Linked DNA regions of Canis lupus familiaris. The protein of the gene in region 2 purifies or fractionates together with the protein of the main gene of each other region. This does not show direct contact. Links are inferred from orthologs where the notes say so. Each region holds a gene or a part of one and is shown on either strand. Other genes may lie near its edges.

Region 1 (4,445 bases), on a different chromosome or scaffold from region 2:
TTTAATTTTTATTTATTTATGATAGTCACACAGAGAGAGAGAGAGAGGCAGAGACACAGGCAGAGGGAGAAGCAGGCTCCATGCACCGGGAGCCCGACGTGGGATTCGATCCCGGGACTCCAGGATCGCGCCCTGGGCCAAAGGCAGGCGCCAAACCGCTGCGCCACCAGGGATCCCTCTTTTTCTTTTTTAGTGAAGATTTTATTTATTCATGAGAGGCAGAGGCACAGGCAGAGGGAGGAGCAGGCTCCAGCAGGACTCGATCCCGCGTCCCCGGGGTCACGCCCCGGACCGACGACGCTCAACCGCTGAGCCACCCAGGCGTCCCTTGGGGTCATCTTTAATGCACCCCCCCACCCAGCTTCGTAACGGTTTTGGAAAAAGCAGCCTTCACACCAGAGGCTGCCTCAGCGTTTTTGGAAGAATGGAACCCGGGGCACAAAGAACAGCATTTGCCTTAGTCCCTCTCCTCTTCCTAATGCACTTATCTACCTAGAGCCCAGGGTCTCCCCGCCCCCGGAGGAGTTAACAGAGGAGGCCCTTTGGGACTTGTCAGAACATCAACAGAACACTCCAGCTCGGTAGGGTTGTGTATAAGCCAATTACACATACACAAACCACAACCATTTGTTTAGCGAATATCCATAACAAATACTATCTAATATCAGATTAGCCTAGCAGGTCATGTCATTGTAATGTCTTGGCTTGATTAATTCCTTACCGTCCGGAGCGCTTTAGGCTCGGCCTGACTTTCCTCGGGTCCCAGGTTCTCTCCTGCCCACGCTCCCAATTACCGTGTTGTGTCCCTAGGAAGAGGGACATCCTATCGCCCCTCCCCTTGGGTGTTTCAGGGAACTCTGCGTCTAGGAGCAAGGCAGCCACCCGGTGGGCACCCCAGATCAGAGCTCTGCGGCGAGCCGCTCCCTCGTCCTCCACCCAGTGGTCGCCCAGTAGACTACACTATCCTCTCCCGCGACTATGAATCACTGGGTCGGGAGGCTCCGGGACGGAGGCCACCGCTCTGGAAACAGCAGACGGCCGGCCCCGCAGCAGGCCAGCCCCCGCCGCGACCTCGCACCCGGCCAACCCCAGGAGAGCGGGCTAGACGCTGCTCCACCGCCCGGTCCAGCCCCCCTGGGAGTCCGCATCGGGCTCCGCCCCCACACTGGCGCTGGGAAGCACCGAGTCCTCCCTCCCACATGGCTACAGAGTCCGCGTCGGGATCATAAACATTTTCGGCGGAGAGAGAAGGCCCGGCCAGGCTCCCCGCCTCCTCGTTGGTCGCTCGCGGCCTCTAGTCCAGATCCAACTTGGGCGAGGAGGCGAGGCTTGGTGACGAGCTTCCGCCGGGATGCGCAGCAGCGGCGGGCGGGGCCTGGTGACGAACTTCCGCCGGGTTACGTAGCAGCGGTGGGCGGGGCGAGGGGCCCTCCGCGCACGGCGGCGAGTGGCTGGGACCCTCCCTCCTCTTCCCCTTCCCCTTCCCCTCCCAGGATAGGCCGAGGCCGGGACCGGCACCGGCGCTCTCCCGCGGCCGCCGCGGCCTCCGCTCCAGCCGGGCCGGGGTGCGGACGGTCCAGACCGCTTCCAGGGCGGTGCGTACTGCGCCTGCGCCGGCTCCCGCCTACGAGGCTGTGGGACGGGAGGGGGAGATGTCCCGCGGGGGTTGGGACGGGGGCTCGAGATACCGGAGGTCGGGACAAGGGACGGGAGCAGAGATGAGAAATGGAGGAAGGGAGCGGGAATAGGGAGGAGTCGGAGGTGAGGAAGGGGCGCTGGAGGCTGCTTTGGAGTAGGGGAGGCGGGTGCGGGAGGGGGCCTGGCCGACGGGAGGACCGGGAGGAGGGGACCTGGGGCTACAACGTGGTGTTTAAATGGCAGTGACGGCGGGCTGGGAGGGGAGGGGACGTTGGGGGGTAGCCTGGGCAGGGGCGGTGGAACCTGAGCCCCCGCCCTCGCCGCGCGGAGCTTGGCTCCTCTCCCGTGCCTGGTCCTTGGCAGCCTTGTCTTCCTCCATTCCTTCCCCCGCCCCCCCGCCCCCCTCCTTGAAGGAATCTTACATTCCTTACATCCCTTCCTTGGCTTTGCAACCGGGCCCTTTTCGCAGGCTTCACACACCAGAGAGCCTGCCCTAACCCAGCACTCTGCGAAACTGGGGAAGGGGGAGGGGGCTGACGGAGGAGCAGAAAGCCGAGAGAGGTGAGAGTGTTTGCCCAAGGGACTGGGCTGCGATGGTGGTGGTCCTGTACAGGTGGTTTTAGGCAAGAAGTCGATAGTGTCGCTGGCTGATAGTTTTCCCCCAGATGGGAATGGGGTAGACTAGTGGACAGGAATCTGAGGGATGTGATGATGTTACTACTCTGTGTGTCCAGCCAGACTTTGTGTCTGGGGCTGGTTCTTGGTCATTGAAAAGGAACAAGCTGCTTTCAAGCATTTCCTCACTAGCCTCCAGTATTCTAAATTTATTTTGCATTCTATTGTTACAAATGCCTTACCTGAAACACAGCTGTATTCAGTATGTCTTCACACTTATTATGTCTTTGATTTTCCAGGACGACATGTAAGGTAGATAAAGGCAGGTATCTTTCCTACTTGTCAGGTGAAGACATTGAAAACTACAGAAGAGATACTGACTTGTTTAAAGGCCTTGCAGTTGGCAGAGCTGGGACCAGAACCCAGGTCTCCTAACTCCTGGTCCTCCTCTTAGTTGAAAACTCCTGTTTTCTTCTGGCTAAGGGAGCATTCCAGCATGGGCAAGATTTGCTTGCTGAGTCTGGAGCTTGTCACTAGAAGACTGAGCAGAGCCACCAACAGTGGTTCCTGGAAGCATTTTGTGAAGTACAGGTGCATATGCCAGGCTGTTGGGAAATAGGGTGTTGTCAAAATGAGGGCAGCATTACACTCCTCTTGTGTTATGGGTGAGGGAGAAACAACTTCCTCCCTACCCCCCAAAGAGAAAGTGTGTCCGACATTACACCTTTATCTCTCTGGTTTGAAAATACCACACTAAATGTGTTTGGCTGATGAGCATAGTAAACTAATGAGCATGAGTACCAGACTCAGAAGAAGAAATGGTCTCAGTTTTATGCATAAAAATTATCATCATCCTTTTGCTTTGTAACACAGCCCTTAATCTGTTGATGGCCATATGATGGGGAGGAAGGGAGTTTGAACAGTTACTATTCTCCCGTGTAGTAGTATTGAGTAGACCTCACAGCACACTTCATCTGTATTGAGTAGACCTCACAGCACACTTCATCTGAAGCCTGTCCCCCTTTACTTGGTCTCATTCTCTTAGCAATGAGAGTCTAATCTTCCTAATCATACCTCTAGTCTTCCTAGTCGCCCACTCAGGAGTAATTTCCCATTTCATTACCTCTTCCTCTTCTTTTTTAGAGCCTGATCCTGTCAGGAATATTTTCAGACTTGGAAACTAGATTCATACCTGTATGAACATTCTTGAGTATCTTCTTATGAAATAGTATTTTTCAGGCGGAGGGTAGGATTAGAATTCTTTTTACATGATTTCGGTAATTTTTGTGAAAGCCTTTGGGAAACATTAAAGCATTCTACTCTGCGTGTAAGCTTTCGTTGATCTCTGCATTGTACAGCCACAGATCTGGAATCATTGACATTCCTTGTGGTTGTGTGCGCTGAATACGAGAATCTTCCTCTGTCTCAAACAACTCTTTTTTACCTTTTTTCTTGTCCCTTTCTCTGCCTGTCTCAGCTATGTTTGAATCTCCTGGATTGTGTGTGTGAGTCTGAGATTCCTTAGCCAGTGATCTCCATCCTTAGAAGGCAGTCTTGTGTCCCCAGCTCTGAAACGTGTTGCCCTTAATGAAATCGTCTCTTCAACCAGTCGCCAGATCCATGTCTGTCTAGTCTCACTGCCCGGTGGAGGTAGTTCCCCTGACTCACCTTTTTCTTCCTTGTTCCTATTAATAGAGTGCTCCTGATTGTGACATCACATCCATCCCCTTGGCGATGGAGCTTGTCACTAGGAAGGAAGACTCGGTCGGACAATAGCCAACAAGATGGGTTACTGGGAGCGTCTCCTGAGTGACACTGAGTGGAGGCCTCAGGGGGTTGGAGCCTTGTGAACAGGGAACCTACCCCCCAACACTTGGAAGGTAAAGAGCCTTGTTTCAGAATCCCATTCCAAGCTTCAGGTCTCATCTCAGACTATCTGGGTTCCTTCTGCTTTTAAAATCCTGATTCTTAAAATTCTTCTGCATAGAACTTTCTGTGATTAACCCACATCAGTCCCAGTTCTTCTTTGCATATTTATGTCTTACAGTAATTATTAACTTTTACTTGTTGGTAAATTGCTTAGTTTTATGTCTTTTTGTGTGTTTTCGTATCTTGTGCACTCACTCATTAGGCTCAAGCCTACACCTTAGTTTGAGGACAAGGATTGTGTTTTCTGTATCTTTTACACAACT
Region 2 (4,605 bases):
CCCCGGGGTCACGACCTGAGCCAAAGGCAAGACGCTCCACCACTGAGCCCTCCCCGCCCCCCCCCCCGAGGTTCCCCGATTTTGTTTTTTGTTTTTTTGTTTTTGTTAAGTGGCATTTGTGACTAGAAGTGGAAAAAGTGAAAATCTAGGCTTGATGAGATTTGTTAATTGTTTTTGTTTTTTTTTTCTTTGCTTTTTTGTTTTGTTTTGTTTTTTTCATTTTATAATCGTCCCTGTCGTTCTTACATTCCAGGTGTTCTTTTCCCGTAGGTCTCTGGGTATTTCCAGATGTCCCGTTACTGCTCATTATTCACTCATTTATCAAAGCAGGGTTTTTATTTTTTATTTTATTTCATTTTGCTTATTTATTTATTTATTTATTTTGGGGGGGGGTGCCTTGTGCAAGACACTTGACTGCTAAGGCCTAAAGTCTTGTTTATGTATTTCACGGGCTTAAAGGCTGTGTGAAGTGAGAGATTGGAAAGCCATAAAGAAAAGTCAAAAGAGGGCAGCCCCGGGGGGGGGGGGGGGGGGGCGGGGTTCAGCGGTTTAGCACCTGCCCTCAGCTCAGGGTGTGATTGTGATCCTGGAGTCCCAGGATTGAGTTCCATGTTGGGCTCCCTGCATGAAGCGTGCTTCTGTCTCTGCCTGTGTCTCTGCCTCTCTCTCTCTCTCTCTCTGTCTCTCTGTGTGTCTCATGAATAAATAAAATCTTTTAAAAAAAATGGACACCTGGGTGGCTCAGTGGTTGACCGTCTGCCTTTGGCTCAGGATGTGATCCTGGAGACCCAGAATTGAGTCCCACATCGGGTTCCCTGCATGGAGCCTGCTTCTTCTTTTGCCTGTGTCTCTGCCTCTCTCTCTGTGTCTCTCATGAATAAATGAAATCTTAAAAAAAAAAAGTCAAAAGAGCAAGATTTAAGTAATTACGAATAATAAAGAGAGGCTAAGCTAAGGATACATGATGGAGTTGGTTGTAGAATTTAGGCAGAGGTTTCTTGGTTTGAAGCAGGAGGGAGAAAGGAAAGCAAACCTGTTCGCTTGTTATAATCCAATGTAGGTAAGCTTAGCAATTTGAAGCAAGAAAGGTTCCCTCCCCCCCCCCCCCCCCCCGGGACTTTTAAGGGAAATTTGCCACGTGGGTAGTAGAGTCTTTCAGAAGAGATGATATTTGAGCAGAAGCTTGGGGAGTGAGCGCTGGTTAAAGGGCATTCCAGGCAGAAAAAGAGCCAGGGCAAAGATCCCCATGTTGGAATGACGTTGGCTTGTACAAGGAGTAGCAAAAAGACCCGTTTAAGAAGAGTGGGATGACACAGGAGTCAGCGATGAGGTAGGGAGTAAACCAGGGCTAAGGTTCTAGAGGGCTTTATAAGTCGGAGTGTTTCTTTGGATCTAGATATGAAGGCCCTGAAATAAAATGGTTGGTTCATGAGTTGTGCTACGATATTTCCTAGTGAGGCTTCTGGGATCGGTAATAGAGTAGTATTAGAGGAGGCACTGTGAACATCTTTCTTCACAATTCGTTATGTCATCTAGACAGCTGTATTTCAGAATCTGCATTTGTTATGATCTTCTTACCCCAGTGTCGTCTTTGGAAATCCAATTTATGTGAGTTGCTTTTATTTTTTTTTAAAAGACTTTATTTATTCATGAGAGAGAGACACACACACACACACACAGAGAGGCAGAGACACAGGCAGAGGGAGAAACAGGCTCCATGCAGGGAGCCTGATGTGGGGCTGGATCCCGGGACTCCAGGATCACACCCTGGGCTGAAGGCAGGTGCTAAACCACTGAGCCACCCAGGGATCCCCATGTGGGTTGCTTTTAAAGGGAATTCCTGTAATGAATTTTGTCACTTATCTTCCTCATTTAAAGAAACTTTTTTTGATGTATGCTAACGTATAAATAACACAGATCTTGAGTGTGCAACTACTGAGGCTGCCATATATGTATATATCTCGCAGCTCAAGGTGGAGAGCACTTCCATCCTAACTCCCTCCTCCTGCTGCTTCTCAGCCAATAATTCCCCTTACCTACCAGCCGACTCCCATTCTGATCTCCATCACCATTAGTTTTTCTTGTTCTTGTACTTCCCATAAACAGTAACGCACACTAGTCTGGTGCTCTCATGTAAGATCTGTCCATGTTGTGTGAAGTGGTTTTTTTCATTGCTGTGTAGTATTTCATTGTGTAAAAGTATAGCACAACTCTAACAATGGACATTTGACTTACCTCCAGTTATTAGCTAGTATGAATAAAACCGCTTTGAATTTACTTATACGGGTATTTTGGTGAGCACACTTTTTTGGGGAGGGATATATATATATATAGAGCTAGGAATGAAATTACATAGAATAGGCATGTGCTTAGCTACTATAGTACCTAGATTCTTAAAGTGTGGCTTTTTGAACCAGCAGCATTAACGTCACCTGGGAATTTATTAGAAATGCAGATTCTTGGACTCCATCTGAGGTTATTCAGAGTCCTTACAGCTCATGTGGTCTAGTACGTACCCATCCATTTTACAGAAGAAAACTGAGACCCGGGATCCCTGGGTGGCGCAGCGGTTTGGTGCCTGCCTTTGGCCCAGGGCGCAATCCTGGAGACCCAGGATCGAATCCCATGTCAGGCTCCCAGTGCTTGGAGCCTGCTTCTCCCTCTGCCTATGTCTCTGCCTCTCTCTCTCCCTGTGTGACTATCATAAATAAATAAAAAAAAAATTAAAAAAAAAGAAAACTGAGACCCAAAGAAATCCAAATGATCTGTCATAGAGATGTATATAGCCAAGTAGAGGCAGAATGGGACCCCTGGGATATAAGTTTCCAGACTCTTAGTCTAGTGCTGTGGAAAAGTAATTCTCAAAAGCATCATTCTCAGACCAGCTGCAGCAGCATCACCTGAGAACTTATTAGAAATGCAAATTCTGAGGACCCACACCAACCTGAATCAGAAACTGGGAAGTGGGGAGAATGATTGTAAGAGAAAGTGTTCCTTTTATTATTTATTTATTTGAGAGAAAAGATGGAGGGGAGAAGCAGATGGAGCGGGAGAGAATTTTAAGCAGGCTCCACACTCAGCACAGAACCCAATGTGGGGCTGGATCCCACAACCCCCAAGAACATGAAATGAGCAGAAATCAAGAGTTAGATGCTTAATGGACTGAGCTACCTAGGCACCTGAAAAAGTTATTTTTAAAGCTTGGGGTGGGGGCACCTGGATGACTCAGTGGTTGAGCATCTTGCTCTCAGCTCAGCTCAGGTCATGAAACCAAGGTCCTGGGATTGAGTCCCACATCAGGCTCCCCGAGTCCCACATCAGGCTCCCCATGTCCCACATCAGGCTCCCCATGGGGAGCCTGCTCCCTCTGTCTATGTCTCTGCATCTCTCTCTGTGTCTCATGAATAAATATACTTAAAAAAAAGCTTGAAGTGACCTTTTCACAGTCGACCTTGAACATCGTGGGCCTACTTACATAGGATTTGAACTGCATTGGCCTATTTAATACGGATTTTTTTTCCCGATGCCTGCAGTACTGTAAATGTGTTTTTCTTACAGTTTTCATAATTTTTTCCCTCTAGCTTACTTTATTGTAAGAATATAGTTTATAATACATAAAATACGTGTTAATTGTGTTATTGGTAAGGCTTCTTTCTGGTCAGTAGGAGGCTTTTAAGTTACTGGGGAGTCAGAAGTTATACTCAGAGTGGATTTTCGGCTGTGAGGGCTAGTGCCCTTAACACACCTCATTGTTCAGGAGTCATCTGGTTATTTTGAAATTGATAATACATTAGTTAAAATAATTGATAATACATTAGTTAAAATGTTATGTTCTTATGTAAGACCATCCAGTTAGGGTTAAAAGGGAAATGTTTGTATCAAGCTGATTCACATTTTTCATTGATTCAACATAAGATATATATGTTAGTGGTGAATTCTGTACTGGGAGCCAAGGATCTAAAGATGAAAAGACTGCATTGAGGAAGTTTGCAGTCCAATGGAGAGAAAGACAAGTCGACAGATTATTAAAATATAAGGTAAATATTATAATGGGGTGGTGTACGAAATATACTAAGAACATAAGCAGACTGGAGGCCAACCAGGGTAGTCAGGAAAACTATACAGTGTCTCGAATCACTAGGGAGAGAAGATTTGTGAATTATGAGACTTTTTTGAGGCCCAGTATGAATAGTGGTTAAGAGCATAGGTTTCTGGGGGCACCTGGCTGGCTCAGTTGGTAGAACATGAGACTCTTGATCTTGGGGTCGTGGGTGTGAGCCCTGTATTGTGGGTAGTTTACTTTAAAAACACAAGCTCTGGAATCAGAGTGCTTGGATCAAAACCCTGGCTTCATAATAACTCTAACTTTAGGAAAATTCCCGTTGTCACTTTGGATCAGATTTCCTTTCTGTGAAGTGGGACTAAATAGGACCTATTTCACAGGGCTATAATGAAGATATGTAATGTAAGGTACAAGATAAGGCCTTTGAGGTAGGCATCTTGTAGCTTCTTTGCTCTAGGTTCCTGCTACACTCTCTTTTTCTATTCACTTGAATGTATCAAGCTCAGTCCTTGCGGAGGGCCTATGGACTTGGGTTCATTTTG
Region 3 (4,625 bases), on a different chromosome or scaffold from region 2:
TACTCAGAATGGAGCCAAAGAAACAGGATATATAAAATATGAGAGTTTAAAAGTTATGGAACATAAAATTCAGAATCCTAGAAGAAAAGAGAATCTTTCTAATTTTTCTACCAGAGGTTAATATAAGGGTAAATGGAAAGAATTAGTATCTTTATTGTCTTCATTTTGGTGTATCTTATCAATTTTACATTGATAAAGTTTTACTTTTGAGTTTGAACATACTTTTCTCAGAAGGCAACCTTTGATAGGAACTTATTCTTGAGCATTTGCGGTCACAGACTGAATGCATTTTAGTGTGAACGACACATGATAGAATCAGTATGCCTCATGTAGACTTTCCCCGTTTAAAAGGTTTATACATATTTTATTGGGGAAATTTATTGAAAATGTATTTGGTTGGGGGAAATCACGGATTCACGTAAACGGTGTAAGATGTGCAGCCAAGAACAGATTTAAGAACAGGAAGAAAAGCTTAGATTTTTAAAAGTATAAATCGAAGTAAATGCTCTGTTGCAACAAGTCTGATTACTTTGACAAGCTTTTCCTCCTGGCACACGGGTTCCATTTTAACAAGAGTTTCACCGACTTCGACTCTGGTTGCAGGATCTGGGATGGTACTTTTATTTTTTAAATTTATTTTTAAAATTTTTAAAGATTTTATTTATCTATTCAGGAGAGACAGACAGAGGGGGCAGAGACCCAGGCGGAGGGACAAGCAGGCCCCTCGCAGGGAGCCCGACGCGGGACTCGATCCCGGGACCCCGGCGTCCGGACCCGAGCCGACGGCCACTCGACCGCTGAGCCACCCGGGTGCCCCCTGGGGGTGCTTTGCAGAGGCCTGGCCCGGGCTCTCGGCCGCCGCGGCCCGCCTGGCGAGGACCGTTCCCGAGCGCGTCGCTCCGAGCGTGCTCTCCCGCGGGCTCAGCCGGCCCCGCGCGCAGCGGCCCTCGCGCCCCCGCCCCTCTCCGCGCCCCGCGTCTCCCCACCTCCCGCCAGCCCGGCCCAAGCGCAGACCCCGCCTCGACCGCCTGGCACCGCCTCCCCCTCCGCAGCGCCAGCTAAGGCGCGTGGGCGCGGCCGCCGGTGCCCTCCCGGCCAGTTCCCGTTCCGGGCCGGGGCCCAGCCGCTCCCGCCCCAAGCCTCCCGCCGCCGCCGCCCGCGCCGCGAGCTCCCCGGGTCAACGCGCTTGGGGGGGGGGTCTCCGCGCTCCGAGGTCTCCGCGCTTGGGGGGGTCTCCGCGCTCCCGGGGGGGTCTCCACGCTCCGGGGGTCTCCGCGCTTGGGGGGGGTTCTCCGCGCTCCCGGTCTTTGCGCTTGGGGGGGGTGTCTCCGCGCTCCGAGGTCTCCGCGCTTGGGGGGTGTCTCTGCGCTCCGAGGTCTCCGCGCTCCCGGGGGGGTCTCCACGCTCTGGGGGTCTCCGCGCTTGGGGGCGGGTCTCCGCGCTCCCGGGTCTCTGCGCTTGGCGGGGGGGGGGGGGGGGTGTTGTCTCCGCGCTCCGAGGTCTCGGCGCTTGGGGGGCGGTCTCCGCGCTCCCAGGGTCTCCGCGCTCCCGGGTCTCCGCGCTTGGGGGGGGGGGTCTCCGCGCTCCCGGGGGGGGTCTCCGCGCTCCGGGGGGGGGTCTCCGCGCCCCGAGGGTCTCCGCGCTCCGGGGGTCTCCGCGCTCCGGGTCTCGCTCTGGGTCTCAGCTGCATCGAGGTCTGCACGGGACGAACCCAAGTAAGTTTCAGCGACGCGCGGTGGTTCGCACCGGGAAGAGGTTTCCCAGGGGCCTGGGCGCCGCGAGCGAGGAGCGCAGAGAGGAGGGGGCGGGTTTGTGGGCGCAGCGCGAAGCTCCCCGGGCAGAGCTCCGGGTGGAACCGGGAGGAGAAATGCAGAAAAAGTTCAGACGGATGAACTTCAGTGTCTGCGGGATCATCGATCCTTGGGGAATCGGGGAATTTTCTAAATCCTCCCGGCAGCTTAGAAGGCCCCGGTCTTACATCAGAGTCCGGGGGAGGGTGGGGGGGACCCAGGCCTCAATTGCGTTTAAATTCCCCAGGTGATGCCCAGGGTTGGGAAGGGAAGGCGGGCGGGCGGGCGGGCCGAGCGCTGCGCGGCCCCGGGGCGGCAGGCCCCGAGGGGAATGGGACTTGCGGGTTCAGAACCTCACCTATTCGTACGGCCTTTGGCACCGCTGTGAAAACTCGGGCTGCCTTATGACCCCCGCTTGGTTCTGCCTTCTGGAAAATGGCTCCATTGTTGCATTTGAAATAAGTTGGGGGAAATCAGTAAACTCGAGGCCTTGACACTTGTGGGTGATCTGCTTTAAGGGTGAGGCCGGCTGTGCTTGCCACAGGGTTGGGTTTGTCCCCCTTGCTAAAAGCCCCCATCCGGCTTAGGCCCTATCCAGCCAAGGGTACCTCGACTGCGAATATCTGAGAGGGGCAGATTTCACAGGAGGGACCCCTCTTCACCCTGGGGGAGACGCTGGGGGCAAGTAGCTACGAACCTAGAAGCAGGGACATTGCACAAGACACAGACTTCTACCACATGTGCAGGGCAGATAAAGAAAAAAAAAAAAAAAAAAAAAGCTGGATTTGAAACAAACAACAGCCAAGAGGTAGAAGAAAGGACTCTCAAAGGTTTTAAGAAGAGTACATTTAATTTTTGTGGGGAAAGAAGTTCAGAGGTTTGGAGTCCCATCAAACCTGGACCCAAATTCAGATTCTCTCACTTCTGTGATATGTGACCATAGATAAGTCACCTGAAAACTGGGACTAGAAATGCTAACTGTCCTGGGCTTAATATAGTTAAATGAGATAACGTGTGCCTGGCAGGGCAGGTGGCACATGGCAGGTGCACTGTGAGTGGTGGTTATTTGTGTCTGACAATTTTCTTAGTACAGACATGATGTGGGGGTGGATGGGGGTTGTCCAAAATTGTCTCCCTCAATACTCCGTAACCCAGCTCTTCTCCTGCCCCTTGAGCCTCTGGGTGCTTTGAGGTCTAGACATTCCGGCCTCCAGTTCCTCCTACCTCCTGCCCCCAGGGCTAGTTGATGGCTCTGGAATATGGCTCACTCTGAATGATGGGAATGCATTTTTTTTTATTTTTTTAAAAGGATTTTTAATTTATTCATTTGAGACAGAGAAAGAGAGAACGCACAAGCAGGGGAGAGAGGCAGAGGGAAAAAGGAGAAGCAGACTCCCAGCTGAGCCGGGAGCCAGACACAGGGCTCTATCCCAGGACCCCTAGATCATGACCTGAGCTGAAGGCAGATGTGTAACTATCTGAGCCACGCAAGTGCCCTGGGGAATGAATTTCTTGATAAAAGAAAGCAGTCCTTAATCTTGAGACATCTCCACCCCACTGCCACATATATAAAAAATGGGCTTCCAAGAAAACTGGGCTGTTTATAGGGTCTCAGGATTGATGTGGGCACACACATGTGGCTCTCCTGTTGGCAGCGTCCCCACACAACACCTGGGCTGCTCCTGTTTTGCCTCTGACTCTTGGCCTAGGGACAATGAACCGTTCTTCAATGACCAAGAACAGTCAGGAATTTGAGGAAGGGGGATTCAGATCCTACAATTGTCATGCCAACATCCCAGATGAACCTGTCACCCAGAAACCTGTTGTGTTTGTCAGTGACGATCTGGATCACTTACAGTAACAGCAACACTGTTTAGATATTAGTAACATAAACAGTGATGTCATGTAAAAAAGAAGATCAGTGTTTTATGGTATATGTGCAATCACTGATTTTTACTTACACGAGGATATCAAATTCTTCTTCTTTTTTTTTTTTTTTCAAATTCTTCTTTTTATCTGAAGAGAAGAGTTCAATATTTCTTCAAAACCTGAGACCTAAACCTAGGGTTTGAGGTTTAAGTTACTGGTTTATTTTACCATTCTCTTTTTGGGGAGGATTTTAGGCAAGATGAAATTAGAGAAGCTAAAATTTGTACTTGTGCTGAATTTTTGTCATGCAGAAGCTGTAGATATTTTGCATGTTTCTGGAAGTCCTGTTTTCTTTTATTGTCCGGGCAAAGTCAGTTGTGTGCCACACAAAGGGCCTCCTTTCATCCATCCACAAGTCTGAACTTGTTCGGAGGAAAAGCCTTTGGTGCATCAAATGCTCATTGAGGGCAAGCATTTTTTCCAAACTTGCCTTTTATATAAGAAGTGAGTAGACACTGCCATTCAATTGATTTATGGTTTTTTTTTTAAAGATTTATTTACTCATGAGAGACTCAGAGAGAGGCAGAGACATAGGCAAAGGGGGAAGCAGGCTCCCCGCAGGGAGCCTGATATGGGACTTGATCCCGGGACTCCAGGATCACACCCTGAGCCAAAGGCAGATGCTCGGGGCACCTGGGTGGCTCAGTGGTGCCACTTAGGACTTTGGCTGAGTAGTCCTTTTCCTCTAAATTATAGAAAACTATAGGGATCCCTGGGTGGCGCAGCGGTTTGACGCCTGCCTTTGGCCCAGGGCGCGATCCTGGAGACCCGGGATCGAATCCCACGTCGGGCTCCCGGTGCATGGAGCCTGCTTCTCCCTCTGCCTGTGTCTCTGCCTCTCTCTCTCTCTCTCTGTGTGACTATCATAAATAAATAAAAATAAAAAAAAAAGAAAACTATAGTTTA

The links. Proteins that work in one complex are often made in the same cells at the same time.
Region 1: the proteins of SUGT1 (region 2) and RNF41 purify together in Homo sapiens (affinity purification with mass spectrometry; 3 studies listed by BioGRID and IntAct, with this or other methods). This does not show direct contact. The link is inferred for Canis lupus familiaris from reciprocal best matches to the Homo sapiens genes SUGT1 and RNF41.
Region 3: the proteins of SUGT1 (region 2) and NOD1 purify together in Homo sapiens (affinity purification with western blotting; 3 studies listed by BioGRID and IntAct, with this or other methods). This does not show direct contact. The link is inferred for Canis lupus familiaris from reciprocal best matches to the Homo sapiens genes SUGT1 and NOD1.

The regions. Positions count from the first base shown.
Region 1 is NC_049231.1:895,082-899,526, reverse strand, and holds the start of RNF41 (E3 ubiquitin-protein ligase NRDP1), read left to right. Parts: upstream 1-1,397; 5' UTR 1,398-1,595; intron 1,596-1,623; exon of another isoform or gene 1,624-1,761; intron 1,762-3,948; 5' UTR 3,949-4,133; intron 4,134-4,445. UniProt on the Homo sapiens protein: Acts as E3 ubiquitin-protein ligase and regulates the degradation of target proteins. Polyubiquitinates MYD88. Negatively regulates MYD88-dependent production of pro-inflammatory cytokines.
Region 2 is NC_049243.1:9,668,788-9,673,392, forward strand, and holds the start of SUGT1 (protein SGT1 homolog), read left to right. Parts: upstream 1-1,550; 5' UTR 1,551-1,565; coding exon 1,566-1,608; intron 1,609-3,915; coding exon 3,916-4,037; intron 4,038-4,605. UniProt on the Homo sapiens protein: May play a role in ubiquitination and subsequent proteasomal degradation of target proteins.
Region 3 is NC_049235.1:43,318,590-43,323,214, reverse strand, and holds the start of NOD1 (nucleotide-binding oligomerization domain-containing protein 1), read left to right. Parts: upstream 1-1,577; 5' UTR 1,578-1,715; intron 1,716-4,625. UniProt on the Homo sapiens protein: Pattern recognition receptor (PRR) that detects bacterial peptidoglycan fragments and other danger signals and thus participates in both innate and adaptive immune responses.